2 linked regions of the Caenorhabditis elegans genome follow. The protein of the gene in region 1 interacts with the protein of each later gene in a pairwise test. Each region holds a gene or a part of one and is shown on either strand. Other genes may lie near its edges. The genes, in order: nhl-1 and ubc-13.

Region 1 (16,714 bases):
GAACTTTTTAAAAAATAAATTTGAAGATTACTGCAGGTTTGAAATCCTAAAACGTTAAAATATACCTGCCCATCAACTGAAAGATATGAGTAGAACTTCCCGTCTTGCTGAAAATCGCTCAACATATCTTTCAACTTTCGCCGAGAATCTGAAAATTCAATTTTCCCTGTGGTTTTATATATCTTTTTCGAAGTTCTTTCACAGCAAATTTTCGGAAATTAGATTTTGTTCAGGTGTTCATTCTTCATTCTTTTCGTTAACTTACATGCCGCATATTCGCTAAGCCGCGAGAATTGCTCCGGTGATAACAACATTTCTGAAAATAATAAAATTGAAATTTTTAATCCAAAAAAAGATGAAAGGAGAAAATATAATAATAACAGTGTAAAAAGGAAATGTAAAAAAGGAATAAAAAGAAAAGAAAAAGAGGAAAAGCATGAGAAGAGAGAGAGGACTGAGCAGCTAATCTAAATCCTGATATTATGTATATTAACACATTTATAAATACACTTTTAATACGTTTGACAAGATTGGCTCACTCACTCGATGTGCATGTGCTCCGCGCTTCACCGCGCGAAAAGACGAGCGCTCTCCTGGTGAGCCAAAAAGGGGAGGAGAGAAGCGCTGCCCCTCGACCACACCACCCGATAATCCTCTGCTTCCTACGGTTTCAGCTCTCTTTTTAGCAGAGAATATCACGCGAAGAATCAATCGACACACCTTGTGTCTCACATAATGATTGCAATAAAAAAAGTTCACAGATTGACGCACATTTCCTTTCAGTTATTACGTATTACGCTGAAAGTGCCCAATGAAAAAAAAAAGAAGCCCCAAATAACAAAGTGTAATCAGATGGAAATTTGAGAATTGATAAAGTCGGTGATATAGTGTGATTTGTGTGCCAAATCGGATTGCAAAATGTGTGAACCGACCGTGAAGAATTGCAACTAAACTCGGGGAGATTGAAGATTATGACGGAGACATATTTTATGTTAGTGCATTTTGATTTAATAAAACCGAAAAAAGATAATAAATCGATTTAGTTTGATTTAATGCTAATAAATAATTTTTCCTAGAACTATAACAACTGCATCCTTAACAGTTTCAGTTGCCGTATTTTCTCTATTAGTGGTGCACCCAATTTCTCAAATTTGGTTGCACATTACTCGGTCGTCTGTTTTGAATCTTTTATAATTGGACAAGAAAATCCACTCTCCGACGTAGAAGTCAGTTTGGACGATTGTATAAATTTTTTCAACTGTTCGCCGGGTTTCCCGCTTTCCGGTTCTTTGAGTTTGAAGATCTGAGTATTCCTTACCGAATGGGTAAAATTGGTACTTTCATCAATTTTTAGGACAAACTATGAAAAAATCTCGATATTCTTTTGTATCCGTTTCTGATTTTTGGTAGTTTTAGGATAATTTTTTAACAGTTTTTAGATTTTTAATGAAAATAGTATTTTTAGGAAATACTAACTATTTTAGTTTCAGAACCCATATGTTTTGGGCATACAATAACACCTTCACCTTTTTCCTATGTGTTTTCCTATGCCTTAACCCATTCACAATTCGCCCCCTCCTCTCCTTCATACGCCAAGAAACTCATGTTTTTCGTTCCCGTAATAATCTAGGTCAGCTATACGTTCAACAGTCATCCTCTTCAACTTTTCCCCAATTACCACGCGCGCGGTACTACTAATTGCTCGGAACCGTACTTCGAGACTAGCATGGAAACCATTCGGTCAAAATTAGAAAGTGATGAAGTCACTCAACTTTCAATCAGTTGTTTCTCAGTTTTTCGAGGTCAGTTTTACAGTTTTTGAAAAGAGTTTGATGAAGTGCATGAAAATTAGATTAATTTCAGTATGAAAGCACAGTTGTTGTCAGATGGCCTCTTCCATTCATCATTATTCCTCCATTACTTACATTCTCAATCGGTATGTACCAGGGGTGTGCGGCAAATCTCAAAATTTGCCGAGCTCGGCAAATTCGGCAAATTTGCCGTGCTTAACAAACTCGGAAAAATTTGATATTTTTAATGTTTTTTGGAGCACCAAAACTACTGAATTCTTAACACACATCTGGTTTCTGAATAAGTTCCGCGTAGTATGTCTGTTTAAGCATCAAAATAGCTCAATTTTGTGACATTTTACTAAATTTCTGGCTAAAAAATCAATAGTTTTAGTCAAAATTGTACTGTCAAATTTTTGACGTGTGCGGCAAATTTCGAAATTTGCCGAGCTCGGCAAATTCGGCAAATCTACTTTTTTGAAATTTGCCGTGCTCGGCAAATTCGGCAAATTTGCCGAGCTCGGCAAACGGCAAATTCGGCAAATTCGGCAAATTTGCCCCACACCCCTGGTATGTACTATTTTCATGTTTCAATCAAACAATTGAGGATAAAATGGTAAATTTATTTTACTAATATTGATGCAAACCTAGACCTATCATGATCTAAAATAGTTTTGGTAAAAAATATTAAAAAAATACTAGAACACTATTGTCATGGAATTTGTATGTATCCACAACTACCATGACTACTAATAATTCATTTACAAAATACAAAATACTCAAAAAAACAAAAATTATTATTTCCAGTTACACTGACTGTGACGAATTTCCATTTGAACGTGACAAACGACACACTCCAAGTCTTCCTACCAGATGATATGAGAAGCTTGAGGGATCTCAAGGAACTTTTACGTCTGTTCCCACCGAGAGATGCTCAACGGGATACCTACAGTATATTTGGGTCGAAGTTTGTGTATACTGTGATAGAAGATGACAGTTCTGATGGTAATATATTGTCAAGTTCTGGAATACAAAGAATGTCAAAGCTTCATAAGTTTGTAATGGGGTTAGAGGTTGGCTGCAATTTGATGTTTTATGAATTATTTAAAACATTTTCAGACATCACTAGGAGACAATGTTGCATCGAACTGTTTGAGAAATAAAGATGATGAAGCTTGTACAATGCATCCAATCGCTTTTGCGCTGGAAGATACAACACCGGTTTTGTTCGAAATTTTGTTGTTAAAAATTTTTCTAACTTTCAGGAGTTTGCAATCCAGTTTCTACTTCGTTATCCAAATCTAAAATTTGGAGATTTTGTAATCGACAATGCAATGGTTTTTGGAGATGTTCGCATAGAACCCAAAGTAAAATAAAATAACAAACTGCTTACTATTCAGTAGTCAGTATATGTTGAATTTTCAGTCACAAGATCGGGATGGAAATTCGCCAATTCGTTCTTCAAAGGCTGTTCGAATGACTTATATCTTGGAATCTAGTGAATCCACGGAAAGGTGATTCTTTATAATTTGTTGAGAATAAAAATATTTAGCAGCAGTTTGAACTAGAAAAAGTCGAGTTGAAAATTGTTCTGTTAAGTTTTTCAGTGTTTTAAGACAATAAAAAAAAGAGTGCGGAATAAAGTTAAAATACTTTATTAGCAAGAAAAACTCTTTAAACAAGTTTATGTTTATTTTAAAACTGTAAATTTGATTTGTTAGTGAAGTTTAATAGTGTTTCAGGTGGATAGATTTATTTCTGTCAGCTATTCCACGATATAAAGAAACAAATTCCACAATATTTTGGTCATCTTCAAAGAGTCTAGCAAAGGAAATGGAGCGAAATGGGGAACTTCTGATTCCATGGATGCCTTGGACATCGCTAGTTCTTGTAGTCTTCTGTATGTTTGCCTGCTCTTCATTGAACATTGTGAAATCTCAACCATTCATTGGATTTTTTGCAATGTTCAATGCAACAATGGCAACAATTGCTTCAACGTCTCTTCTTCTTTATCTACAGTATCCCTTTCTTCCACTTGTATTTATTATGCCATTTTTGGTTGTTTGTAAGTTACTGTACAGTTATTTCAACCTATTTCTTTTTATTATCAGCAATTGGAACTGACAATATGTTTCTGATGCTCAAAAGTTGGAGAATGACGAAGAAATCTTCAAATGAAGAACAACGATATATTCACGCTCTAACGGAATCAGCGGCTTCTCTTTTCTTAACTTCTCTAACTGATGGCCTCTCATTTGCAATTGGGAGTATTTCAGATTTTCATGCCGTTAGTAAGTTTTTTTTTCAAATGTTAGTCTAACAGGGAAAGTGTGATTTTTGAACTATAAATTGAGACTTATGTTATTTGAAATTAGTCATTTTTCTTCAAAGAATACAGCGGTAGAAGATAATTTTAAACTTTGAAAAAGACAACGGAAAATTTGAAAAACTGTCTTGCATTTGAGAAACTTTTCCATGTCTGATCTTGATTTTAGAAAGCTTCGCAAATCGGAGAAAAACTCAGTTGTTTTCTTTTTTAAATGACGAAAAGCGTTTTCATCAAGTTGTGCGAAAAGTTTCAGCATAAAACTCAAAAATTTTAGAACATTTGTAATAAGATTTGAATTTTTTCTAGCTTAAAATCCTTCACTGCATTTTAATTTTTTGTACCCATTTTTGATAAAATAAACACTTTCAGGAGTATTCTGTACGTATTGTGCTATGGCGATTCTATTCATGTTCCTCTTTCAAGTTACATTTTTCAATGCAGTTATGTCATTATGCTGTAGAAGGGAAGTTTCTGGAAAACATCCAGTCTTTTGCTGTTATGAAATTACCCCGCCAGGTTTGTGAATTGTTCTAGTTGCACTAAAGAAATACAAATTTCAGAAGAAACACAGGTTCTCGAAAAACAGTCAAATTTCGATTTTTCTTCCATTGTTGCCAAACATTTATTCAAAATTCTCAACCCATTGCCATCTAGGATTGGAGTATTTTTCATTTTCCTCGCTTATTTATTTATTTCAATTCATTTTGCAATTGGTCTTCCACTTGGATTAGATTTAAAATTATTGGCTCCGGACGATTCATATGTTTCTAAAGAACTTGAAGCTCAGGAAAGACTTTTTGCGGACTACGGTGGATTTTGTTTTGCACTTGTTCGAGCTGAAAATATCTCATTGAAAGACCCAATGGTACGAAGAAATTTGATAGGACTCTATCGAGATCTTGGAGGGTAAGTTTCAAAACATACATTTTCAAAATAAAATTTCAATTATTTTCAGAAGTGAATATAGTTCTCCATCCGAGTTCTGGCTGGATCCATTTGAGAAGAAAAATCGTGGGAAAAAATATTCAGAATCCGATTTTTCCGACGAACTTCACACATTTCTCGCGAAAGAGCCTCATTTAAAATTTCGAAATGATATTAGATTCACAATGATGGGGAAGATTGAAGCAATGAAAATGATGTTTCGAGTAAGGAAATTAGGGAAGGATAATGATGCTCCACGAGCAGAATATATGAGAAAAGTGATGGAAAATAGTCAATTCAATGGATTTGTATATGATACCAGTTTTTTATTGGTTGATCAGCAAATGACTACGGTTTATAATGTAATTGTTGATGTGGTTTCAGCAATTTTAACAATGTTATCTATTTGTGTATTGATGGTAAGACATTTTTATAAACATGGCTCCAAACCATAGGATTTCAAAGTTAGACTTTTCAAAAAATAATTATGAAAATTAGAGATTTTTAAGTTTATGAGCATCTTCATTGTTTTATAATGATATTTTGGCTTTTGATAGACTACTTCTCAATTTCTCAAATTCAGGTTCCTCGCCCGGTATCTGCAATGTGTATTGCTTTTGCCATATTATCAGTGAATATTGGAGTAATCGGAGCCCTGGCAGCTACAAATACACGACTTGATATTATCTCAATGATAACAATTGTGATGAGTGTGGGATTTTCAGTTGATTATGTCACGCATACCACTTTTCATTTTGTTATTCAAAGGGACAATCGTCTTGAGGTATTGTCCATGAGAGAAGACTGAAAACAAGATAATTCAAAGTTTCAGAAATGCCTCCTGGTAATGACAGAACCAATTCTACAATCAGCTTTATCAACAGCTATTGGAGTATCACTTCTATCATTTGTTCACTCATATATTGTTCGAACATTTGTAAATACCGTATTCTTTGTAGTTGGGCTCGGAATTCTACATGGTCTCATATTTTTGCCTGTTCTTCTTGATACAATTGTCCCGGACTCAGAGTATATGGTTCCTTATGAACCACAGCATGAGGATGAGGAAAATCCAAATCATTACGAGGATCTTTACGGTTTATAATTTCAATGTGTTTTTACTTCAAGGATGTAAATAAAATTTAAATGTAAAAATATGTTTTATTGAACTAAAACAACCAGTTATATAAATAATTTTTGAAAAATCAACAAATAAAAGAGAAAACTCAAATTTAAATTAAAATCAAAAACCCGATATACCGAATTATCTTTTGTGTTGTTTTCTGGTGGCCCATCCTGAAAAAGTTTTAAATTTTTAAATTTTTTCTAGAAAAAACCAACTTTTCCAACGGAGCTCAGCGCAGTCGAATTGGTCCCTGAAACTTCCACGTCAACGATTAAACCCCCAGAATTTCCAGTTCGATTTTTGTCCTGATTTGGCACAACTGAGCTTGTTCGGTTTTCTAGAAAAAAGAGCAGGTGTAACTAACATTAATGAAGTTTATTCTCTCACCACAAATAGAATTTGATACTTCCTCAAATGTGATTGGACCTAGAGAGTTTAGATTTTCGCAGGTGTCCAACGATAAATTTGTAAGCAGAGGGTTGGAGAAAGCATAAAGAACATCTGGATAATTTCCGAAATATGGAATTGAAGTGAGATTTGAGAATTCTACTTCGGAGAGATTTCCATTTTCTTGGAGGAAGATTACAGGTAGATCAGCTGGAATATTTGAAAATTTAGATTAAATAATGTTGTCAATTTGACTGAAATTTCTAGCCGAAATTTTGGCAAACCACTTGAATTTGAAAATAAGACGGACGTCCGCCTGCCTACCAAAAACTCACGTTGAAAATTGTAGACTCTCCATAAATTTGGAAACTTCAAACTGGCAATTTCACTTTCAAACACTGTAATTGATCCCAGAATCTGCTCAATATCGTTTAATCTTAAAGTTTAAATTTTTAATGATCACATCAGTCCGCGATTACCTGCTCTGAAATTCTAAACCATTGATTTCTTTGGTACCATTTAAAACTAATGAATCTGTCAAAACTTGGCATCCAACAGGAATATTCTTATCATTGAAAAACTCAAAATTATCAAGTCGACAATAATTTTCTAAAATCAAAATTAGTTTTAAAATTTTTTTAGAGAACTAACTTGTTGGATCGCAAATTTGAATATGTGGTGCATGAAACTTCTCGGTTTGCATAAACTGTTCCAATTCACCTTCAGTAATGCATAACGATGGATTATCGAGCAAATAAATTCCATACTCTGCTTTCTTACTAAGAATTACCTGTTAAATATCAAATTTCAATATTTTTTGTTTTATTATTTGCTTACCTTCTTCAAACTTGTCAAGTACAACCTACGCAATAAACTATTTTTCGCAATTGTTATTATATTTCCGTACGCTGAAAAATACCATTTAGTATTAATATTGAAATTACAAAGTCTTCAAAATTTCCAAAAAGAACATACAGGAACATGTAGAAGAATTTCCAGTTTGTGAGTACTGAACTATTTCCAAATTTGATAAAAGTGACAGACTTGTGAAACCAGAGTTGGCTATCGTTATGCATCCAACTATTTTTGTGACATTTTCCAGCTTGTATTCAACGATCTTAAACAAATTATTGGAATCCTATAGTGTTTTGAATAAATAAAACCTCAAACGGTGGCATTGTTGACTCGAGACCCATTTGAATATGTCCATGAATTGTTGTGCAGTTGTCGGGTAATTTGTCCAACTCACATAATGGGCAATAACAATCTGTAAATGATATATTCAAAGTTATCAAAAGTATTACCGATTAGAATGATATTTAAGATTTTTGCATTTGGCAATTGGAAAATAAAATTTAAAACGCAGTTTTTTCCCTATTAGACTTGCACCATCATTTCTCTATTTTGACGGCTCATATTTCGGATTTCTTAAGTGAACTGTTTCAAAAACTGTTTCAGAATATAGATCAATATTTAGCGCGTATTTTGTCAATTAACAAATTTTTGATAAAACCAAAAAAAACCGAGATAAGCTGGACAGTTAGAAGAGAGTAGTAATTTCTTATAAATTTAATTGTTATCCAACATTTTGCGAAATTTCGTCTCTAAACCAAAACTAACTAAAATAGTAATATGTTTACTATTTCATTTTCACTTACCATCTCCAATTACAAAGTGATATAACTGAGTAAAAAGAGCGGCAATAAGTGGCCATTGCATAAATTCCAGCGCGTTACTCTTTTTCGTTGCAACCAGACGATAGACAAACAAAACTTGTGATTAGATTAACCAACTCAAAAACTGCTTTATTTTTTATTATTTCCGCCCACCCTCCGGAAAGCGATTGTCATAGTAACCAGCGAATTTCGCACGCCTTCTAGCTACTGCACTCGCTGGTTTTTTTTTAATGAAAAATAGTCGAAAGGTGGTTAGTGGGAGTTTTGAAGATTACGTAATTATAGAGAGCAGGATGCTGAACTTTCAGATTTTATTCAAATTATATGATCATTAGTTTCAAAAGTTTACCAACAAAAAAGACAAAATAAGTACATACATACGCTTGAAAAATCAAATAATCATGATTTTAAATACAAAAAAAGGAATTTCGGGAAATTGTCAAATCGTCAAATTACCTGAAAAGTTTAAAAAAATGTGCTTTAAAGAAAAATACTCAAAGTGTTATGAAAATACCACAAAAATAAAAAAGAATGAACAAACCAAAAAGGCAAGTTTCAATTGTGACTGTTCTCCATTTTTAAACTTCTTCCAAAAGTATAAGCCACGCCCATTTTCTAACCACTCAACGTCTTCAAACTCTACACAATCGTCCTGATTGGTTGAAAAGTGGGCGGAGCAAATCACTGATTGGTCAAAGTTTTTATTTCGGAGGGAATTCAAAATCGCGGTTTTAATAGTTCGAATTTCCATTTTTCTGCGGTTTATTTTTCGATTTTATTTTGTGGTTTTTTGAATTTCGGACTATTTTTATGTTTTAAAGAAACATCCTAATTTTAATCTACACTTTCAAGCTTCTGAAAATAAATACTGAAGTTCAATTTGTCAATTTCTTCTCAAATATTTCAACGTTCAGGACAGTTATCATAATCTTCGAGAACCAACAAACCAGCTGCATCTTCCCGCCGTTCATATCCTCATATCTTATTGATCTTTTTTTCAAATTCCCATCGGTTTCAAAACTTATGAGTAAATAGTCAAACAAAGCCTAAAAACCAGTAAAAGACTCAACCAAGAACTTTTCAAAATCCGATCCGCGCACCCCACGCACACCGATTGATATCGGCCGCCGCTGTGTTTGCAGGAGATGGCTGGGGGCGTCTTTCGTCTGTTGCTCCCCAGATCTTTCTCCAACTTCTCTGCGTCTCAAATCTTTTTTGGCTCCCGGGAGCACTCGGCACACTCATCCCCAACTCTCCAAGTACACCCCACTTTATTATTATATTCGATTCGTCTTCTCGTTCTATCCTGTTTTTTTTTAATTCGAAATTCCAATATTTCTAAAATTCAATCCTTATGAGCAGTTCTCCACAAAATGAAGCAGAAGCTCGCGAAAAGGTTTGTTCTAAAAAATTTATTTTTTTAAAGAAAATCTTAAATTCGTCGTTTTCCAAACATTTAAAAATTAATTTTGTGGACAACTGGAAATGAAATATACTTTAAACATCTACAAAAAATAATTATTAGAGACATTCATTGAAATTTTTTATCTTAAAAATATTGGTAACCCTATAACGGTCCTTTGAGTTTTAAAACTTAAATTTAAAATTTTTGTCAATTTTCAAAATTTTTATATTTCGTTTAAGCTCCCTATAGGTGCTGTACAAATTTTCTTTATTTCAAATAGACATTGCAACTTTAAAGTAACGTTTTTATTTTTTAAATGAAAAGTTATTCCACTGATTTTGAGAAAAAGTTAAGTCCCTGTACAACATTGATTAGTTGATTAGTGCAATCATCTCTAACCCACATGACCCATAGATTCTTTCAGATGCGCGAGCTGATGTCACGTCCACCATCGAGTCGACCAGCTGATTTTGTGAATCCTCTCGAAAAGATCGAGCAGTTGCTGACGTGTCCGATTTGTCTCGATCGCTACAAGTAAGTCTGTGATCTCAATCAGCTGTTCGTTTTGAAAGTGAGCAGACGAAATTGAAAGAAGAAGCACCACGGACAACCAAAACAAACTATTAGTGTGTAGTTCAAGGATAGACATAGGCCGTGTGACTTCTGACTGACCACTGTTATCATATGACCTAGGCTAAGTACCGCTTGGCTGAGGGGAATTTTTTTGAAAAAACGAGATAGACTTAGGGGATGCATAATAAACATCCGGTTGTTTACGCACTGTGCATCAAAACAATAATAAAATCAGACAGACTGTTATGATGATTAGCTAGGAGAACGTTATGGAGAAATCAACAATCTAAGATCCTGCAGGGATCTTTTAAAAATGAGGATCATTTTTGGGTTAAATCAACAACGTTTGTGTCAATAAATATAGACTAACCTACGTCAGAGTAAAAAGTGGAACATTAAAAAAAAGAGATGTTTCATTGATCTGTTATAGATGAACAAATGTAAACATCCATTTTAAAAACGAGAACCTTTTCTTGTAAAATATTTGAATAATACACTTATAGTCTCAAAAATAAAATAAAAAAAAGTAAAAAATTTGAATAACTTTGCACGAGACCTCAGACAATCATGACAAACATTGTATTTAGTGAACGTAGGGGTAAAGTTTTTCAAGCTTAGAAGGTGTAATACTATGATATTTTTCAACTCGCCATTTCTTGTTCTGTCTTCTCAAGTTTAATTTCTCAAGTTTTATCTTGCTAACTTTTTATAAATCTTTTTGTTTTTGAGAAAGACGAGTAAGAAGAGTTGGCGTAGTATTTTAGCCCACTAGGAGTGTTTTTAAACATTTTTTCTCAATGGCGATTATCTTCAAAACTCAACGTTTTTATTGAAGTTTCCTAATCATAAGTTTGCCAATTTTTTAGATTAAAAGCTCTAGCTTTTGGGCTATAACCCGGTGCTCATTGAAAATTCACAAAAATACCTCCTGCGATAAAAGAAACGTTTCAAATATTTTTTTTTTCAATTCAATAGATGATTGGAATTTTTTTCGAAATCTTAGAAATCATATGACAATATTTCAACTGGTGGCAATCCACTTTTTAACAATGAAACACTTCAAAATCAATCACACAGTTGTTCTCAACTCATTGTTAGAGTATTTCGAAACAGCTTCACCGTTGTATCTATCTCCATGTCGAACGGCTTTTCCTCTACTTTCTCTTTTCTCTTTTTTACAATCGAGAAGGGAGCCAAGAGAAGACTTTTCAATCGGATTCTCCGCCAGTTCTCAACTATTTTGCCATTGGCTATGGGGCTGCAAAGTGTGTGTATTACACCGATGAGGAAACGAAGAAGCCTGCTGGACGTGATCTCTTTGAAAGATATTTAGAAAGAGAAACGAGACTTTTTATGATTTTTTAAAGTTGTGAAATCGTGAGATATTGACATTGGACATCTGAAGAACTTGGTAGTTGAAATGTAATACTTTGAGCTTTGATTTTTATAGAGATAAATGCTGAACAGAATGGCTAAACTTTTAAATATCAAGTTATAGATTTAAACTATTTTCAGACAACCCAAGCTTCTACCTTGTCAACACACATTTTGCTATCCATGCTTGGAAAGTTGTGCAGACACGTTACATCGCAATTTGAAATGTCCAGAATGTCGAGCAGAACACAATATTCCATATGACGGAGTAAAGGCGTTTCAGGTGTGAAAATAAGTATCACTTTGAAGCAAAATATTTCATTTTCAGCCAAACTACACATTAACCGGGTTTCTCGAGATTCATCTGCAGGCCACACCAGAATCGGCTGCAGAAATTGAAGAGTACATTCACAGGTACAATTTGGAACGGTGCAAGATTTGTGATGAGAAAGCAGACTGTGAACCATGTGCACATTGTGATAGAAAAGCATGTAAAGAATGTCGACAGACTCATATGGATATGCTTAAAAGAGACATGTCGCGACTTTTGAATCAGGTTAAACGGCTTGCCAATCGAATTACGGAAGCATCGGATAATTTATCAAAAGGAGTTGATATGATGACAATGAACTGTGAGACAACAAAAGCAGAAATTAAAGAATATTTCCACAGGTTTGTCTGAAAAGATATAAAAACCCGAAAAAAAAATTAAATTCAGATACCAGAGAGATCTGAAAAAGAAGGAAGACAACTTTCTCATGGAAGTTGATACATTTCAAGCTACTGAGACTCGTAATATGAGCAATCTTCGTGATGTTCTGGAAATTGAAAGTTCTAATATGAGTGAAGCAGTTTCTAGACTGGATGCTGCAATCAAGGTGGGATTTCATTGAATATTTTGAAGCTATCGAGAATTTCAAAAAGATATCATAACAAAAAAATCTTAAAATTTTCAGGGAGAATGTTCAATTGAAGATTCTGAACTTGTTCGAATGAAAAACACGTTTACGGAAGGGCTTGAATATCTTAGGAACTTTCAGGTAACTTTTTAATTTAATTGTTGAACATTTCTTATTGTATTAATGCTTTAGCCCGACGCCGACGAACTTTTTAATCGAAAACTCCGATTCTCAGCTGGAGATGATGCTGCTAAGCTTCCAGCAGCGATCACTACTTCTGGTGAACTTTGTGTTCTAGTTCCTCAATTTTCGGGAAGGTATATTTCAAAAACTTCAAAAAAAACGAAAATCTTTAGTCAATACTTTGTAGATACCTCCCTCTTGAACAATCATACCTTCCAAGACCATTCCGTTTACCATTGGAAAGTGACAGTTATCGGGTTAAATCTGACGAAAGAGCAAGTATGAGAGATCGAGAAGCTGATAGGACATCTTCAAGGCACAGGTATGTTCCATGGGAATTGGTTTTGGTTTTTTATTAACAAACGTGTGATTTTTAGTCAAGTAGTTTAGTTGTATAGTGTAGAACACTAATTATAGAAAATCAACATTGTTAAGGTGTCAAAATGAATCTACGTCCGGTCTCTGGCTCTCGACTTCATGTTTTCAGTTTTCTATGTAACGGCTTATTGTTGCAATTTACACTCAAATATAGTACAATTTATGTTTTATTCATTAAAATATCTTAGAGGTCGCCAGAATTGTGTCAAGATGCTAAATTTGCCATGCCAATAAAAATAATAATATTTAAGAAAGGGGCAACGGACAATTTAAAAAACTATTTAAAAGTTAATTATTTTCAAAATTTTATTCGAATTTTTGAAGAAAAACGGCTAGACAAAAAAGTAAAAGCGTTTCCGCGTTTTTATGTTGGTTTATTACTATCCAATTTTGGTTATTTTTTGGCCAAACACATATTGATCGCCCTTTATGAATATTAAATTTGGCACCGGCATTTTGACATAAATCTATTGAAGTTATAGTTCAATTTAGCTTGGATAATTTATTAAATGTATAATCTCACAATTACTTCTCCATACAGTTTCCCTCTCTAAACTATCCTCTTTTAATTTCAGTCATCGAAATCCTGAGCCTGATGAGTCCTCGATTCGTTACCGTCGTCGTCAGCAGCTGGAAGACGAAGCTTGGAATCGTCTCCGTAATTCATCTGCTGCTCCTTCTCTTCTTACTACATCAGTCACTGCGGACTCTTCATCACGAACATCGCCGTGGGCTGCTGATCGTGTCACCCGATCAGTTGAACCAACCAAGTCACGGCCAACAAGTCTGATTGTTCCGAATACTGAAACACCAAGAACTGTATCTCCAGCTAGTAAACCTCCTCTTCCACCACAATCTGTTGAACGGGTTGAGAGGACTGAAGATGCATCACCTGCTCCACTTCCACAACTTCCGATCCGAAAGCCACCTCTGCCACGTCAACAGTCCAGTAACGATGATTCTTTGAATGAGAAAGTGGAAACCATCCGTAGAGCTCATCAACAACGTCAAGATGCATCTAGAGCTGCATCAAGAGCAGTTTCAAGTGAAGAATCAGAGGGAGAGGATTTTCCCGTATCCACCAACCGCGGTAGAATACGAATAGTTTGTCGCGCGGCATCTGTAAACCGTGATGATGGACTGATGAGTATGATCCCAGGAACTGGTACGATCATAAATGTTCCGCCACCTCAACATCAACTTCCGGCATCCGCTCCGATCACCAATGGGACATCTGAACAAGTCGCGATTCCAGTCACACATTTCACAGGTGAGGAAGACGAAAGTGACATCGTCGTGCCAGCGTGGTTACAGCGTCGGAGGCAACGCTTCCAACGCTCGCGCACAAATCCCGACATACAGGCACAGTTCACAAGTGCTCGAGTGCAGCAGCTTCTCGCCGAACGTCAATCTCGTTTAGACTCTTCTACGACAACCGACGAAGAGAAAGAGAAGCTTGCCGTTTTGCGACAGCGTGGCCGCAGCGCTTCTCGTGAAGCTGGTGAATGGAGGGCTCGTGGTAGACCACGTGCAGTATTCGGACGAAAAGGTGCGAAGGATGGCGAGTTAAACTGGCCACGTGGAATTTGTGCATTGTCCGGAGGTCTTGTCGCAACTTGTGATTCGTCTAATCATCGTGTCTGTGTTTTCGATAAAGATGGAAAATTTGTTCGTCAGTTCGGAGGCTACGGTGCCGGTGCCGGACAACTTGATTCAGCTGCCGGGCTAGCAAGCTCAAAGCTCCGAGTTATTGTATCCGACAGGTACAATCATCGAATTTCCGTTTTTGGATTGGAAGGAGATCATTTGTTCTCATTCGGTGGACATGGACAGGGAAATGCTAAGTTCAATAATCCATGGGGAGTTGCTGTCGATGATTTGGGAAGTATCTATGTGGCTGATAAGGTAGGTCAACTATCATGAGACGTTTCTCAGTAATGCGAAAGTTCATAATTGTATACATTTTGATAAAAATTAACTTTGTTTATTAATTATCATCAAGAGAAGAACTTTGTTTTTGTAGATTCATATATTGCAGGCAAACCGGACGTCCGGTATTTTGAGTATCATTTTTTAATTTTTTTTTTTTTGGAAATTCGGACGCCGGACATTATTGTGGTCCGCTTTGCAGATCTAGATTAAATTTTAAAAAACATTGCCCCACATGCTAAAATACAAGTGAAGCTTAAATTATAGGATAATCACCGCGTCCAAGTCTTCGACAAAAATGGTCAATTCATTGCAAAATTCGGATCTTTCGGACATCTACCTGGTCAACTAAACAGTCCATTGTTCATAGCAGTTAGCAGAGTTACTCATCACGTGAGTGATTCCAGATAGATTCATGAATCATTCTGAATCGTTTCAGGTGTATGTATCAGATTCTTCGAATCATCGAATCAGCGTATTCGATCCCCACGGTGTTCATTTGTTTTCATTCGGCGAGGAAGGTTTTCATGGTGGACAATTCAAATTCCCACGTGGAATTGCTATTGATTCACAGGTAAGGCTGGAATGCTAAAGAAAAATTCTAAACCATTCATTTTCAGGAAAACCTAATAATCGCCGACTCCGGTAACAACAGGATCCAAGTTTTCGACGCCCAAGGTCAATTTGTCTCCTCTTTCGGAACTTGGGGTGGAGGAGCTGGACAACTGAAAGGTGTCGAAGATGTTTGTGTCACTGCTGACGGTTCAATTGTTGTCACCGATCGCGAGAATCATCGCATTCAGATCTTCTAAATTATGTTTTTTCGGGCCTTATTCTTGTTTCATTTTCAATTAAAATGTCTCCTTTGTAATTTTCTGTTATCGATACCGATGCCACCCAACTTTTTAGTGTTTTCATCTTTAGGTACAAAGCACTTTTACAAGTATTATTAATTATTATTACCCATTACGACTTTCGGTTTTAAAACACTTCTGTTTTCGAGTTTCAATAAAATATTTATTGAGAAAAAGGAAACATTCATTGGATTTCCGATTGCATTCGATTGTGGATTCTAAGCTTTGAAAGTGAAGAGGCAAGTTTGGCCAGCTGTTTGTTGGAAGACGGTGAAGCGCTCGTTGGCGGAAACTTCGTATCTGAAATTACAATAGCATTTATTAAATGAATGTTTGTATTAATCTAATTTTCTTATATTGGTTTCTACTTAGCTTTCTACGTACCTACTGTGCTGCCTAAAATTACTATACACCTAAATACATGTAGTAGGCCTACACGCATGCCTGCTAGGCCGGCAGGTGGTAGGCACGTATCAGTGAAAACGCGCTTGGATCCTATGAGAAGGTTAATGATACCGTGCAGAATTGACGAACAAATTTGTAAATTTTAGCTCTTATAACGGCCATGACATTGAGTTCACAGTGAGACCCATCCAAAAAATAGCATTTGCCTTTAAAGTGATGATTCCAGTTTTCACAAATTTACGATAATCCATGAGCTACATTAATCACCTCTTTCCACCTTCCTTCATCTTAGAAATTTTGAGAAGTCCACCCTTTCCAACATTGTACTCTTTTTCTGCCTCTGGAACTCCGCCCATCAACGTCATGATAGCTGGACTTCTGACAGGCAAGGAGCTGTTGGAATGAGCCGAAGTCACCGAAATCTCCTTCTTCATCATTGGTTGCTGGCCACGACGATTGTACGGATGCTTTGGAGCGTCTTT
Region 2 (14,262 bases), on another chromosome or scaffold:
AATCAAAATGGGCGATGGATATCCAAGACCAACGACAACAAGAAGCTCGGCGGGACCCAGAAACATGCAGTACAAGGATGAGAACACATGGTTTTCAAAAAAAAATCAGAAATATGATAAAATGTGTTTAAATTTTTAGGCTAGCAGATGCTGCAGCTGACGGAGACGGCTGGAAGGATCCATCAATCTCAGAGACGGGTCATAAACCGATCTCAGAATGCGGCAAGACTACGATCGGCTTGTGGTGTATGAGTCCAGCATTGGTTAGTACAATATGAGTCCTATAATTCTACAAAACGAATACAAAAATTAAATTTTAATTGTGAAAATCGAATTTTCAGTCCTTCTTCGACGCATTCAACAAAACACGATCGATAGTCCTCGCAACCCTGCTCCCAATGGCAAGAACCGACTTGAATGACAAGAAGCGAGCTTGGTGTTCGAATAAAACGAAAAGTAAGTAGAACTCAACAAAAAAACAAATAAAAATTAGTGAATAACAAATTGTCGTTTCAGATTCCATCAAGCAATGCTTCATCGTCTTCATCTTCGGATTCGAAAGGAGATTCGGCGATGGTCGTCACTGTCACTACTTGAATGACAAGAAGCGAACCGATTTGAGGACTTTTCCGAGTGGTTTATCGAGACTTTGAGACTGGAAGGAGCTTTTATTGGCCACTATTTAAATTATGAGGCTGTTAACTACTAATTTCCAGTCAAATAGAGTTAATGTTTTTAATAATTCCAGGCTGCACCCGTGACCATCTTCGAGACTGTTCCAGGCAACTTTGAGTCATGCACTAATACATCGGAGCTAGGATCCATTTTAAAGCAGTCGATTTCAACGGGAGCTCTCTTATCTACTTGGCCCAAAACAGAAACTAATTTTCCATTTTGGTATTTCATTAATTAATAGATACCTTGAGATGATCTCAATCAATAAAACCTTGAAATCTTTACATATTCTAGTTGTTCCCTGCCCAAATTATCAATTGATTTCTCATTGTAGATGTTTTTTTTTAAACTTTTCTGTAATAAAAATTATAATTTAAGAAAATGTCGCGTGATCCGAACATTTCTAGAGAACAACTGATACGAGTAAAAGGTATATTATTCATTTAATAAAATAAGCAAAAATCATGGTACAACTGAGAATTTGCACAGATGGTGGACGTGGAGAGTCGAGAGTTGTCGGAAGGTCGATCGGTTTTGTAGCCAAACCAGCACAGAGATCGGCTGGAACCGAAGTACATCCATTGAGCTTTCCCGATCTAATGCGCTGCCAGCAGGTCGGCCCCGATCTTCCGTCCATTTCGGATTCCGGCACACAATGTAGTTTTGACTCTGAAAAAGGAAAAGAGATTATTGATGAGGTAGAATATTACGGGAACACAAAATTCTGAGAATACGTATTGCACAACATATTTGACGCGCAAAATATCTCGTAGCGAGAACTACAGTAATTGAGAAAAAAAAATGAGAAAATTCATTTCAAAAATCTAGAACCCGTAAATCGACACAAGCGCTACAGTAGTCATTAAAAGAATTACCGTAGTTTTCGCTACGAGATATTTTGCGCGTCAAATATATTGTAAAGTACGCATTCTCAGAATTTTGTGATTCCATAATATATAAATTAGCCGAGATAAAATTTAAAGTATTTTTAGATGAATTCTGTGTTTGCTAGAATCAGAAAAGCTATTTGTGAAATTGACCCGAGTTCCTTTCCTAGTCTAGATTCACTCAAATACACCAAAAACCGCGGAGGAGATTATGAGAAACGTCCGGGAGGTCTTGGATATTCTGAAGGAAAAAATGGGATCTGATTCGAAGCACACATTCCTCAACAACACTGTTACTGCAACTGCTCAATTTTGTGGAATTCATAGAGACACTGTGAAACGTCGCACCCCGGAACGAAGCCAGCAACCAAGGAAACGTATTTGTGAAATGAGCAAGAAGGAACGGTATCGAAAGGAAGTTTCAAAACTTTCTTTGGTGAAACGGCTTCAGCTCACAAAGTACATCCATGGGCTCTGGTGTGATGGGAAAGACGTGGTTATTGAATCCTTGCAGAGTTGGGCAGAATCGAATATTCAGTGGAACAGAGGATCTACAAGTTTGAGATTTGTGATGCGTGGTTTGGGATTTGTGTACAGAAAGAAGAATCACAACACCATCGTTGACGAAAGGCTAGATATTGTGAAGAACAGAAATATTTATCTGAAAATTAAAGAAGAATTAGATGTGAAGAAGTACTATATTGGATCTTGTGACGAGACATGGGTCTACGCGGGAATGGTCAGTGTTTATGGTTGGCAGCATGGTGATGGAGAAATGTACAAGAAGGCAAGATTAGCTGACATGGAAAACCCCCAATCAGGGCCTCAAAAGGGTAAAAACAAGGGAAGAAGAGGAGTGACAGCAGCAGTTACCGTATCCGTATAGTGACCGTATCGTTGATCCAGAATGAAAATTTGTGGGAATTCATCGCACTCATCTCCAAATATTCCACACAATTCATATTGAAACATCGCAAGATCGTTTCCTTCTGCCAGTAAAGTGAATGCTTTGAATAAATTCGCGACCAAATCGGCATCTTCAGTGATGAAGATACGCTCTGTTTCAATTTCACGGTCTGGGTGGAGCAAAGCGTCAATCAAAATGAGGAAATCGAAAACTTCAACACCTTCAATAGTAAATTCGATCAAAGAGTTGGGTAGTGCTCCGATGTCATGGAAGAGCTCACGAGGAACAATATAAAGCATCAATCCATCGCAAGTTCTCAAGATTTCGTGTCGATTAATCACATCCAGCAAATCCAAATTGTGACCTCCAGAGAGATAAATGAGCAATGGCGTGCTCTTTGGATCGATTAATCGATCGGTAAGCGACGACCAATTCCGTACATATTGAACCATGAACTTCTTGAAGGATTCCGGCAGCTCAGGTACACAGTCTTCATCTGGAAGATTCAACCATTTAACATGGATCTGCGGATGTCGTCCATTGAGTTGCGCTCTCGTCAGAGTGTGTGGGGCTTCGAACTGAAAATGTATTCATTGAAATATCCGTTCTCTAGAATAGTTATCGATTTTAGTGAGAAAAAAACCAAAAAGTTATCATTATTAGATTTAAAATGGCGAAAAATTTTCGATTTGAGAAAAAAAAACGAATTTTTCGTTTTTATTTTCAAAAGAATTTAGTAAAATACTTAAAACCGACACCCTCGTCTAGAATGGCAAAAATTCATACATTGTTCCTAGCACCAAGTTTGTATTTCACTCCATTGACAGAGATTGTACTACGATTGAATTCCAGCTTCTTGATAATCAGAGGTTGCGATTTTTCGATCTTTACAAGAGATGGGCATTGTGCGGCCAGTCGGAATCTGAGAATTATGTATTTAGTTAATTACAGAAACTGTTTGTCTCACCTTTTATTCGCCTCCAAGTGTTTGATAATGCACTGCATGGATAGATAGGTGAGTGGCTTCGAGTCCATGTTTGCAGAAATCTGAATTAAAAATTTTTTATCGGTAATTGCTTCAAATTTCGCAAGAAAAACATGAAAAAACACAGTTAAAATTCGAAAAATCGAAAGAAAAATCAAAAAGCTACAGTTGAACACATCGCGATGAAACCCATGCAACAAGATACTGTGTGTCCCTTTAAATTTACAGTAATATCAGCGTGCATTTTTTCGGCATTTCTCACTTTCGGCAATCGGCGATTCAGGCAGTTTCCAGTTTTTAAAATTTCTATCACAATATCTACTATTTATTCTTCTATTTATTCTTGCATTTTTTCCGGTTGAAAACCATCAGGCTACTGCTGGAAATGCCTTCAAAAATTTCTCAAAAATTCTCAAAAAAAATAACGACTTTATTCAAAAAATCATCAAAATTTCCAAAAGAGAAAAAAAAATCAATTTCGATGGAAGAAGATTTTCTGGAAACTGGGAGAAAAAAAGAAGAATTTAAATTAAATGGACGACGACGGTTTGATGAGGATCGTGAGACAACAGAGACAAAAAAATTTTTTAAAAAATTCAATGGGATGGGGAGGAAATTGTAGAATTTCGAGACAAAAAACCGGGCGGGGACAAAAAAAATCAATATTTAGATATATAGTAGAAGATGGGGAAAATCGAGATTTTTATGCAATTCATACAATTTATTGGAAGTTCGTAAGGGGGCGGGAAAAGGCGGGACAAAGAGCAGGCTGAGAGAATTTCGAATTTTTTTTTGTTTGATGTGATTTTTTGTAGTTGTTCTAGAGGCGAGCTTCGGAGACGATCAGGCTTCTGAAAAAAAATTATTAATTTATTTTTTAAATTGTTAAAAAAAATTTATTAAAATGCATATTTATTGTTGGGTCCCACAGCGAAAACTAGGAAAATCTACTGTTTTCAGAGCCGAAATCGAAAATTCGAAGGGTCGATTTACGCAGCCCGTGTACTCCTCGAGGAGAAGTGGGAATGATTTTTATACAGTTTTTTAACATTAAAACTACCAAAAAAATGGCTCATAAATTCAATTTCCAGCTGAAAACTGCTTTTAAGACACTAAATACTTCGATTTTCACTGAAAAACTGGAATTTAGCGCTAAAGTTGTTATAGTTATGTAAAATTTGTGGAAAAGTCGATGCGAAAACGGTCCAAAATCAATCATTTTAGCGCAATTTTGGAGCAAAAATCGAAAAATCGAACTAGAAACCTCCGAAATTGGCACATGTCGATTTACGCAGCTCGTGTACTCCCCGCGGAGAAGAGGGGTGAAGCACATGGATTTTGAGGCGAAAATTGTTGATGTTGGCCTATTTTTTCCTGATTTGAATCTTTAAATCACCAATTTAGGTCTAAATTATAGTGTTTCTGATAAATTTTTATTTTCGATTTTTTAAAGGTTGAAAAACTAAAAAAAATTCGAAAATAAAAATTTATCAAAAAAGCTATAATTCCGAGCAAAAATTGATGATTTAAACGTTCAAATTAGAAAAAATAGGCCAAAATCAATAATTTTCACCTTAAAACCCGTTTTTTTCACCCCCACTTCTCCTCGGGGAGTACACGAGTTGACGTAAATCGACATGCGCCAATTTCAGGGATTTTTAGTTCGATTTTTCGATTTTGGCTCCATAATTGCGCTAAAAGTATTGTTTTTCGCCGTTTTCGTCGACTTTTCCTGAAATTTTACTTAAATATAGCAAATTTAGCCGTAAATTACAGTGTTTTCCGTGAAAATCGATATTTTTAGTGGCGTAAAAGCAGTTTTCGGCTGGAAATCGGATTTACGAGCCATTTTTTGATAGTTTTAATGTTAAAAAGGTCAAAAACTGTATAAAAATCATTCCAACTTCTCCTCGGGGAGTACACGATCGGCGTAAATCGACATGAGGTCGAATTTTCGATTTTGGCTTCAAAAGAATTGCAAATTTTCATCGATTTCGTGGCGAGACCCTAGATATATTACTGACGAGCATAGTTCATCGTCCATTGTTTTGCAGTCTTAATCGCCTCGGCCTCATTCGTTTTCCATTGCTCGGCGACATCAGTTGCCAGTGGATCTTCCGGATTTGGAGCCGAAAGAAGAGCCTGAATCGACAGAAGAACCGTGCGAATTTGAAGAGCCGGCGACCATTTATCTGAAAAATTGGGCATTTTTTTTCGAGAAATTCATGTGAAAAAGCTCAAAATGAGCAGTTTTTCGAGATAATTCGCATTAAAATAGCCGAAAAATTGAACTTTTCTATGGATAATTTGATTAAAATGCGCAAAAAATGAGATATATCTATCGAAATGCTTTCTTTTGGAGTAATTTTTCGATAAAAATTGGAAAAAATGCGCAAAAATAAAGAAGTTTTCGAAGAAATTACACGAAATTTGTAATTAAAAATCGAATTTTACTATCTCTCCATTGAAATTACTAAAAAATCAGATTTTTCAGCAATTTTAACAAGAAATTCGCTTTAGAATGATTAAAAATAGCTAATTTCGATCATAAATTGAAAATGTCCCTCGAAAACTGGGGGTTCGCCGAAATTTTCGCAATTTTGAATAAAAATTGCCAAAAAAACGCCGTTTTCCGAGATTTTCGATGAAATTTGGTTAAAAATGCGCAAAAATGATACATTTTCGCAGTTTCTTTGAAAAAAATTTCACAAAAAGAGGGTTTTTTAAAATTAAATTTCGAGAAATTCGCATTCGAATGCACCTAAATATATTTATTAGAACAAAAAAAAACACGATTTTTCTCGAAATTTCGTCTATTTTGTCAAAAAACGCTCAAAATAAGCTGTTTTTGATCCATTTTTCCCATTAAAATGCGTAAAAATTCATATTTTTTGGATTATTTTCTCATTATGCGAAAAATGAGCATGAAATTCGGATTTATACGCTCAAAAAGAGCTAAATTTGATTTAAATATTAAAAAATACAAAAAATTCATCTAAACTCGTGAATATTGTTGAAAATGGGCTGTTTTTCGAAAAATTTCAAGTAAAAATATCCAAAAAAGCTAGATTTCTGAATTTTATCAATAAATTTGTGTTAAAACAGTGTAAAAATAGCAAATTTCGATGAAAATTCAGAAAATTCTCTAAAAATAATTGATTAAAACGCTAAAAACCGTTTTTTAAAAAATTTTTTCACTAATTTTTCAAAAAAAGGGGAAAATCTATTCACCCTTGAGAATATCGAGACAAATTCTGCCGAGTTTATCAATATTCGGATGATAGATCTTTGTCATGAATCGAACTTTCGGTGCAGCCATCGGATACTCTTCCGGAAGGAAAAGCTCCAACTTGAAGACACCACCAGCAAATGGAGAATCGTCTGGCCCGGCTATCATGACATGGAAGTATCTGGCGTTGCTCTCGTCTGGATTTGCCGATATTCCGGGAACCGGATCCGCGAGAAGTCGTTGTGTCTCTTTGATGATTCGACGCGGAAGTTGCCCGGCCATTCTGCAAGAAATTTTATTGTGTGTTTTGGGGCTTTTAAGCTGATTTTTCTATTAGAAAAACGGATTTTTGAGTGCAAAATGGTGAAAACTGAATAAAAAAATATATATAAATGTATAAATTTTGGCTGAAATAAAAGAAAAAAGACTAATAATTCAAGGTTTTTTAATTAAAAATCAAAGTTTTTTCTCGAAATATCGGAAAAGGGCCATTTTCCGCAAAAAAAAAGTTAAAATATCTAATTTCCTAGGGGAAACTATGAATTTTTACTTTAAAAAACTGTTTTCCTCGAATTTTCAACGTAAACATCGGCCAAAAATCGATAAAATTGTGTTTTTGGCATTTCCAACCAAAAAAATGCTCGTTTTTAGCGATTTGGAATAATTTTTTTGGAAAAAAAAATCGATTTTGGTGCAAAATAATAGCAAAATTGGATTTTTGTGCAGTTTCCATGGAAAAGTGGAATAAATTTGATGGTTTTTGAGTGATTTTAGAGCTTTTCCCAGCGAAAAACTGTTTTTCTGTTAAAAATTCAACAATTAGACGGATTTTTGAGTGCAAAATGGTGAAAACTGAAGAAAAAAATGTATAAATGTATAAATTTTGGCTGAAATAAAAGAAAAAAGACTAATAATTCAAGGTTTTTTAATTAAAAATCGAAGTTTTTCTCGAAATATCGGAAAAATGCCATTTTTTTTAGTACAAAAAGTTAAAATATCTAATTTTCTGCGGGAAACTATGAATTTTTCAATTAAAAAACTGTTTTCCTCGAGTTTTCAACGTAAACGTCGGCCAAAAATCGATAAAATTGGGTTTTTTGTGATTTCCAACATTAAAAAACGCTCGCTTTTCACGATTTCGAATAATTTTTTTGGAGAAAAAAATCGATTTCGGTGCAAAATAATGGCAAAATTGGATTTTTGTGCAGTTTCCATGGAAAACAGTGATGAAATCGCATATTTTTGCAGAAAACTGACATTTTGGAGTAATTTTAATCAAAAATAAACGCAAAAATGTGTATTTTTGACGTTTTTGGCATTACGAATTCGTTATTTTTGCGGAAAATCGATATTTTCAGCACCAAAATGTTGAAAAAGACGCGTTTTCTACGGGAGCTTTCAGTTTTTCATCTGAAAATATGTAAATTCACCGGTAGTTTGAGTGAAAAAATCAATTCAACAGTGAAATTTCGAAAAAATAGGATTTATGTGCATTTCAGAGTGAAAATTGGCATTTTTGACGTATTTTCCATCAAAAATAATGCCAAAAACTGAATTTTCGACGTTTTGAGCATTTTGAAAACGCTAAATTCGAGAAAATCGATATTTTCAGCAAAAAAACGCTGTAAATTCTCGTTATCCACGCGAAATCTTAATTTTTATACTAAAAATGTATAAATTTAACGGTAATTTAAGTAAAAAATCAATTCCTTTGCGAAATTTTTAGAAAAATTGGATTTCTGTGCATTTCCCAACGAAAACTGTTATGAAATCGCATATTTTTGCGGAAAAATCACATTTTTCGGTAATTTTAGTAGAAAATATCGCCGAAAATTGATTTTTCGGCGTTGAAAAAGCTGAAAATGGGTATTATTTTCCATTTTTACGTATTTTCCATCAATAATAACGTTTCGAAATCGATAAAATTGGTTTTTGGAGGTTTTTAAGGTGAAAATCGATATTTTCAGCCTAAAAATGCCAGTTTTCGACCGTAAATCTTCGAAAATCACATTTTTAAACTGATTTATTTCCTGGAAAACCTAGAAAAAAGGTAAAATAAATTATTAAAAACCGGATTAGAACCGAAAAATTGGCAAACTGAGGGAAAATCAGGGAAAAAAGCTTCATTTGACCAGACCAGTGGGAGGAAGATGATGATGAAACACGAAAAAATTAAGGGGGGGGGGGGAAATCAATAAATAAATTATTATTAATAAAAAATAGATTTCAACAAGTAAAATTGCAATAAAAACACACACGCTAAAAACACGATTATCACATGTAGAACGGCATGAAAAAAAAATCACAGCTCTTCTTTGACATATTTCGGCTTAAGCTCCTCGATGCGCTTGATGAGCTCGGCCTTCTCGGTGCATCCCTTGCACACCTCTCCCCACTCGCCGAGAATGTTTTTCAGCTCTTTCACGCGCATTTTCTTCAAATCGATCGTCTTCCAGTCGAGTGGCTTGTCTGTGAAATTTGGGGATTTATTTATTTTTTTTTTTTGATTAAAAGCGAGATTATGCGCCAAACGAACCGTATTTAAGCTCACAAATCTGAGCATCCTTGCCCTTGAGCTTCTCCAAACAGACTTTTTCCGTTGGCATCGACCAACTGAGCGGCTTGGTGACCTCGTTCATGATGGAAGTGGCCGATTCTGGGAGTGCGCCGATGTAGAAGCACTGAAAATGGATAAAAATTAAAAATTTTAAAGGAAAATTAGATTAAATCATTTAAATCTTTAAATCCCCTACAAATTTGTTCTCCTTGTTGCGAGTGGTCTCACAATGCTCTCTGATCACTTTTCCGATGGCATCTGGCTTGGATTTGTCGCCGGCCGGCACTTTTGCCATCACATCGTCCAGAACCTTTTTGCAGACTGAAAATTTCGCGATTTTTTATTAGATAATTAAGTAATTAAGCTTTCTCAAATTTACAAACCTTCACATTGTGGAGCAGCAGCCGAGGCGACGACAATCACCAGGGAGATGAGAAGGACGAGTCGGCTCATCTGCTGGAAAAAACAGGGATTATTACGGGGTTTTCAGGGCTCTGAGAGTGTAAATAGCGGGAAAACTGAAAAAAAAAACCAACAAATTATGCAGAAAAATAGAATAAAAAGACAAAAGAAAGCGGAAAAAACGGAGAGAAAATAGAGAAAAAGCGAACGCAATTCGAGAAAATAAGCTGACGTGTTTGCGCGCACCGCGGGCGCGTCAGCACTCTCCTTGGCGCGTTTCTCGATGTGGACGTCAGCGTTAACGTTGACTTTTGGAATTAATTTTGTAATTTATTCGGGCTGATTCGCAGTGAAAAACGATATTTTCCATTGAGAAAACCTCAAAAATAGTTAGAAAATCGTATTTTCCAACTAAAATTAGCATTAAAGATCGCGGGAAACATGAAAATTTGCATAAAACTTCACTTTTTACAGGTTCGCAAAATTTAAAATAAAAATGTTTGAAAATCAGATTTTTTAAAAAATCTTTTCTTGGTCCAGAACGAAATTCAGGTCTCGCGTGGAAGGGATTTTAAAGTCGATTTGGCGGTTCCCGTGGAGATCGGGTCATGGTGCATCGATCAAAATACTTTCTTCTTGTATTATAGGTTTTGTACCATTTTCAGGGGGTTTTCCAGAATTTCCAGAACCAAAAAATCCAAGAATTACAAGAAAATTCGATTTGAAAACACTAAAAAGAAGAAAAAGCGATTTCGAATTCAAAACTACTACTGTAGAGGGGTACTGTAGTCTGAAAATTTGCACAGTTCGCGTTGGGAACACAATATATTCTATTAATAGGCACATCTTGATAAAAACCTGGAATTTTTACGGTTAAAACTAAGTTTTTCAACAGAACATATTCGTGAACTTTCTTGATAAACTCGGTTCTATTTACGTGAAATTTTTAGTTTTTAACAAATTCCACATTTTTATTATATTTAATGCCACGTCATCGCAAAACTAATATCGGAACATTGAGGTTAGTTTAACAGTTTTTTTTCAGTCGAAGAAAAGTTGTGAGTTTTTTTTCTAAAAACATTGTATTCTTTTTTGCTGATATGAGGGTTCTCGAAAAGTTGGTGGCCGAGTTTTCTTCTGCGCGGCCGCGAATAAATAATTTTTTTCAAAGAAAAAAATTAGATTGGCAGGATTTAATGAAATTAGTTTTGAAAATTTTCAGGTTACTTTTTGACCATTATAAAATTTTTTGGTGGCCGAGTTTTCTACACCGTTTGAAAAATTAGTCCGTCGTCCCAACGCAAATAAACTGTGTCGTAAAGTTTGCCTTCTGAGAAAAATCTTTAGGGGTAAATATTTCAAGTTTCTGTGTAAATTTTTGACGCGGGAATTAAAATTTTTTCCCTTTTTTTCAAAGTTAGTTTAAAGATTTGCCCGTGTGGTAGAATTGGACTCATCTCACTAGATTCTCACTATAGGTTCAACCAAAATTTTACAGCTCTGCCCGCATATAAATTGTTCGGAAATTCAGATTTGCATTGTACACTGCAACATTTTCCTCACGAGGGAAGAGGAAAAGTGGTTTCTAGGCCATGGCCAAGGGGCCGATAAGTTTCAGCGGCCATTTATCTTGCTTTGTTTTCCGCCTGTTTTCTTTCGTTTTTCATCGATTTTTTTCGTTTTTTCTTAATAAAACTGATAAATAAATATTTTTTGCAGATGCTAAAACAATTTCCAAGTAAAAAAATCATGTATTCAGTGGGCAAGCAGCGGTGAAAGTGGGCATTGTAATATAATGGATTACGGGAATACAAAACCTAAATTTTTTCTTAAACATGATACATATGCTGCTTAAATGCTGAGACTACCTGATTTTCATAACGAGACCGCTGAAAAAGTTTTGAGGTTTCCAAAATTCAACTATTTTGGTGAAAAAGTCGAGATTTTCGCACAAAAAGTTGAATTTTGAAAACCTCAAAACTTTTTCAGCGGTCTCGTTATGAAAATCAGGTAATTTCAGCATCTAAGCAGCATATGTATCATGTTTAAGAAAAAGTTTAGGTTTTGTATTCCCGTAATCCATCATGTTGCATTGACCACTTTCACCGCTGCTTGCCGACTGAATACATAATTTTTTTACTTGGAAATTGTTTTAGCATCTGCAAAAAATATTTATTTATCAGTTTTAATAAGAAAAAACGGGAAAAAGCTGTGAAAAGCAAAAGAAAACAGGCTCAAAACAAAGCAAGATAAATGGCCGCTGAAACTTGTCGGCCCCTCGGCCATGGCCTAGAAACCACTTTTCCTCGTCCCTCGTGAGGAAAAAGTTGCAGTGTAGCGCAACACAATTCCCTTGGAAAAATTCAAAAGAAATTCCTGGTTTCATGAAGTCTCTAACTTCTTTTGTGCACCAGAATTTCATTTTAGTCTAGTGGTTTTGTTTTTGAAAAATAAATAGGTTTTTTGTGATAAATGCACATTTTATCATATTACTTCTGGAATTTGCGGAATTGCACATGGTGTCAGGCTGTCCCATTGGATCTCGAGTTCTGTTGGAAGAATTTGAGATTTTATTAGTTGAAAATATGTATTTTTTGAGTCGCCATTACTTTTTTTGACAAGTTTTGAGAACGTCTCAGTACGAAATTTGGTAGTTTCTGGACTATTTTAGGGCTAAAAAAGCAAAAAAGCAAAGTCTCATAACATATTTCACACCTTTTTTGGTTTTACAGCCCTTCTTTTCTCCGCATATAAATCGCTCCGAAATTTAATTTGCAAATAAAAATTGTGTTTCTCGTGAGACAGACATGGCATTTTCCAGTGAAAAGTGCACAAACAAATGGTTCAAAATACCAAAAAGAGTATAATAATTCCCTTTCCTCCTATCTATATTTGCGTCTGTCTCTTCCACCCCATAGAAACAGTGCCCCCCCTACCACCGCCCGCTGTGTTGCTGCTTCGTGGCTTTTCGTCTCTGCTTCTTTCAATTCTCTCACTCTTTTCTTCTCTCCCATGCCACGCCCCCACCCGTTCCTATCTCTGATTCGGAATCTTTTGAAGGCGACGACGTGGTTCTTCGAAGCCGCCAGCAGCACTACTCATCAAGGAATCCATGTTCGTCGGCGTGTTTTACGGTCTTGCAGCCGTATGTGGCCTGCTCTATTTTTACACACGATCCGCCACCGAGTCAAACGATGATCCAAAGTTTAAGAGCTTCCAGAGAACCTATCTTATTGTGTATATGATGGCTGTTGGTAGGTTATTATTTTTTTAGTTTGGGGTTGCGGGGGATTTGGATTAGCGGGAAAACAGGTGATTGTTCGATTTTTTTGTTAGAATTTTTTCAATTTTTAGACCTTTTTTAGACCTTTTTTAAACCAACAAAAAAGGTTAAAGTCGTTAAAAACCACTCTTATAATGCTACAACGTCTAGAAATATCATTATAAAATTTTTCATAAAAATGTTGAAATTGTTTTATTTACAGTCAAAATGTGGTCAGTTTTAACTTATCATAATTAAGGGAGTCGACCAAAAAAAATTTTCCTTTGACGATTTTATATATTGAATGCATTGAAAGCATTTGTATTCAAACATTCTAGGAGTTCTAGGAACTTGAAATTTCTCAAAAATTACATTTATTGGGAAATTTAGCAATTTACCAAAACTTTGACTGAAATATATTTAAAAAAAGCTAACTAAATTTTTTAAAAAGTTTAAAAAAATCCTAAAATTGGCTCCTCCCATAGCTTGGTTTTTGTGCTCAATTTTAATTATATTTTCCCTGAAGTTAAAAAAAAAAATCAAAGACCGAATCATTGTGTTAACATGAATAAAAAAAAAAGGATTTATTGTTAAAAACCACCAAACTTTTTTTTTCGAATATTTTCTTTGTATTGAAAACAAAATGTTCACATTTTTTGACTGCCAAATATTTTCCCCCGAAATTGAAAAAAATGTACCCTTAGGCAGATATTTCTGTTATCTTTGGTTTTATGAAAAATTGTCAATTGACAAAATATGTATTATCTAATTTTCTTTATTTTTGTAGTTTGAAAATTTTTAATATCTCTAAAAAGAGCCGAGATATAAGCTTTCAAAGTTGAAGAATCAAGCCTAAAAAAGCCTAAAAATTTCAGCCGGTGACTGGCTCCAAGGACCTCATGTCTACGCGTTGTACGAGTCATATGGAATGTCTAAACATCAGATTGAAATTTTATTTATTGCCGGATTTGGGTCAAGTCTTCTCTTCGGAACCTTCATCGGATCGATTGCTGATAAGTTGTGAGTTTCGGGTTTTTTTTAGTTTGAAAGCCTGTAACTCGAGTACCCGTTGTGCTATCAAAATATTGTCAACTGCAAAAATATTTTTAAAAACATTTTCTATATTTTTGTAGTTGAAAGTTTTTTTGTACTTTTATTAGCCGCGGAGATATGAGGCTTAAAGTTTTAAAAACTTAACTTTTTAAAAAATTTTTTTGAAAACTTGACCTTCATAAAAATAATCATAGCACAACTTCAAACTACAAATTAAAATTTTTTGGCAAATAGGCACATTTTTATTGCCTATTCTGTTTCCATTGCCTACATGCCTATGTGCCTACCTACCACCGATTTTTTGC

The links.
Region 2: the proteins of nhl-1 (region 1) and ubc-13 interact in a two-hybrid assay, tested with the Caenorhabditis elegans proteins (one study listed by BioGRID).

What each region holds. Positions count from the first base shown.
Region 1 is NC_003281.10:9,146,677-9,163,390, reverse strand, and holds nhl-1 (RING finger protein nhl-1), read left to right. Parts: upstream 1-9,488; 5' UTR 9,489-9,586; coding exon 9,587-9,628; intron 9,629-10,061; coding exon 10,062-10,171; intron 10,172-11,725; coding exon 11,726-11,867; intron 11,868-11,912; coding exon 11,913-12,256; intron 12,257-12,302; coding exon 12,303-12,462; intron 12,463-12,540; coding exon 12,541-12,624; intron 12,625-12,675; coding exon 12,676-12,800; intron 12,801-12,853; coding exon 12,854-12,988; intron 12,989-13,619; coding exon 13,620-14,949; intron 14,950-15,240; coding exon 15,241-15,366; intron 15,367-15,412; coding exon 15,413-15,547; intron 15,548-15,593; coding exon 15,594-15,785; 3' UTR 15,786-15,996; downstream 15,997-16,714. Other genes in the region: dgk-3 (putative diacylglycerol kinase 3), read right to left, coding at 66-148, 266-314; ptr-9 (Patched-related protein 9), read left to right, coding at 1,758-1,802, 1,864-1,936, 2,598-2,863, 2,910-3,011, 3,056-3,157, 3,216-3,304, 3,533-3,855, 3,902-4,081 and 5 more; Protein irld-34, read right to left, coding at 6,226-6,339, 6,385-6,506, 6,557-6,766, 6,892-6,992, 7,036-7,165, 7,208-7,346, 7,394-7,464, 7,532-7,673 and 2 more; ZK512.8 (uncharacterized protein), read right to left, coding at 16,046-16,127, 16,500-16,714.
Region 2 is NC_003282.8:2,918,726-2,932,987, forward strand, and holds ubc-13 (Ubiquitin-conjugating enzyme E2 13), read right to left. Parts: upstream 6,967-14,262; 5' UTR 6,966-6,966; coding exon 6,686-6,965; intron 5,647-6,685; coding exon 5,479-5,646; intron 4,306-5,478; coding exon 4,298-4,305; 3' UTR 3,866-4,297; downstream 1-3,865. Other genes in the region: Y54G2A.50 (uncharacterized protein), read left to right, coding at 8-90, 140-263, 342-456, 517-653; fbxc-45 (F-box C protein), read right to left, coding at 1,138-1,344, 2,436-3,047, 3,256-3,391, 3,437-3,504; manf-1 (Mesencephalic astrocyte-derived neurotrophic factor homolog), read right to left, coding at 8,986-9,152, 9,220-9,364, 9,437-9,561, 9,624-9,693; samt-1 (Molybdate-anion transporter), read left to right, coding at 12,755-12,896, 13,780-13,924.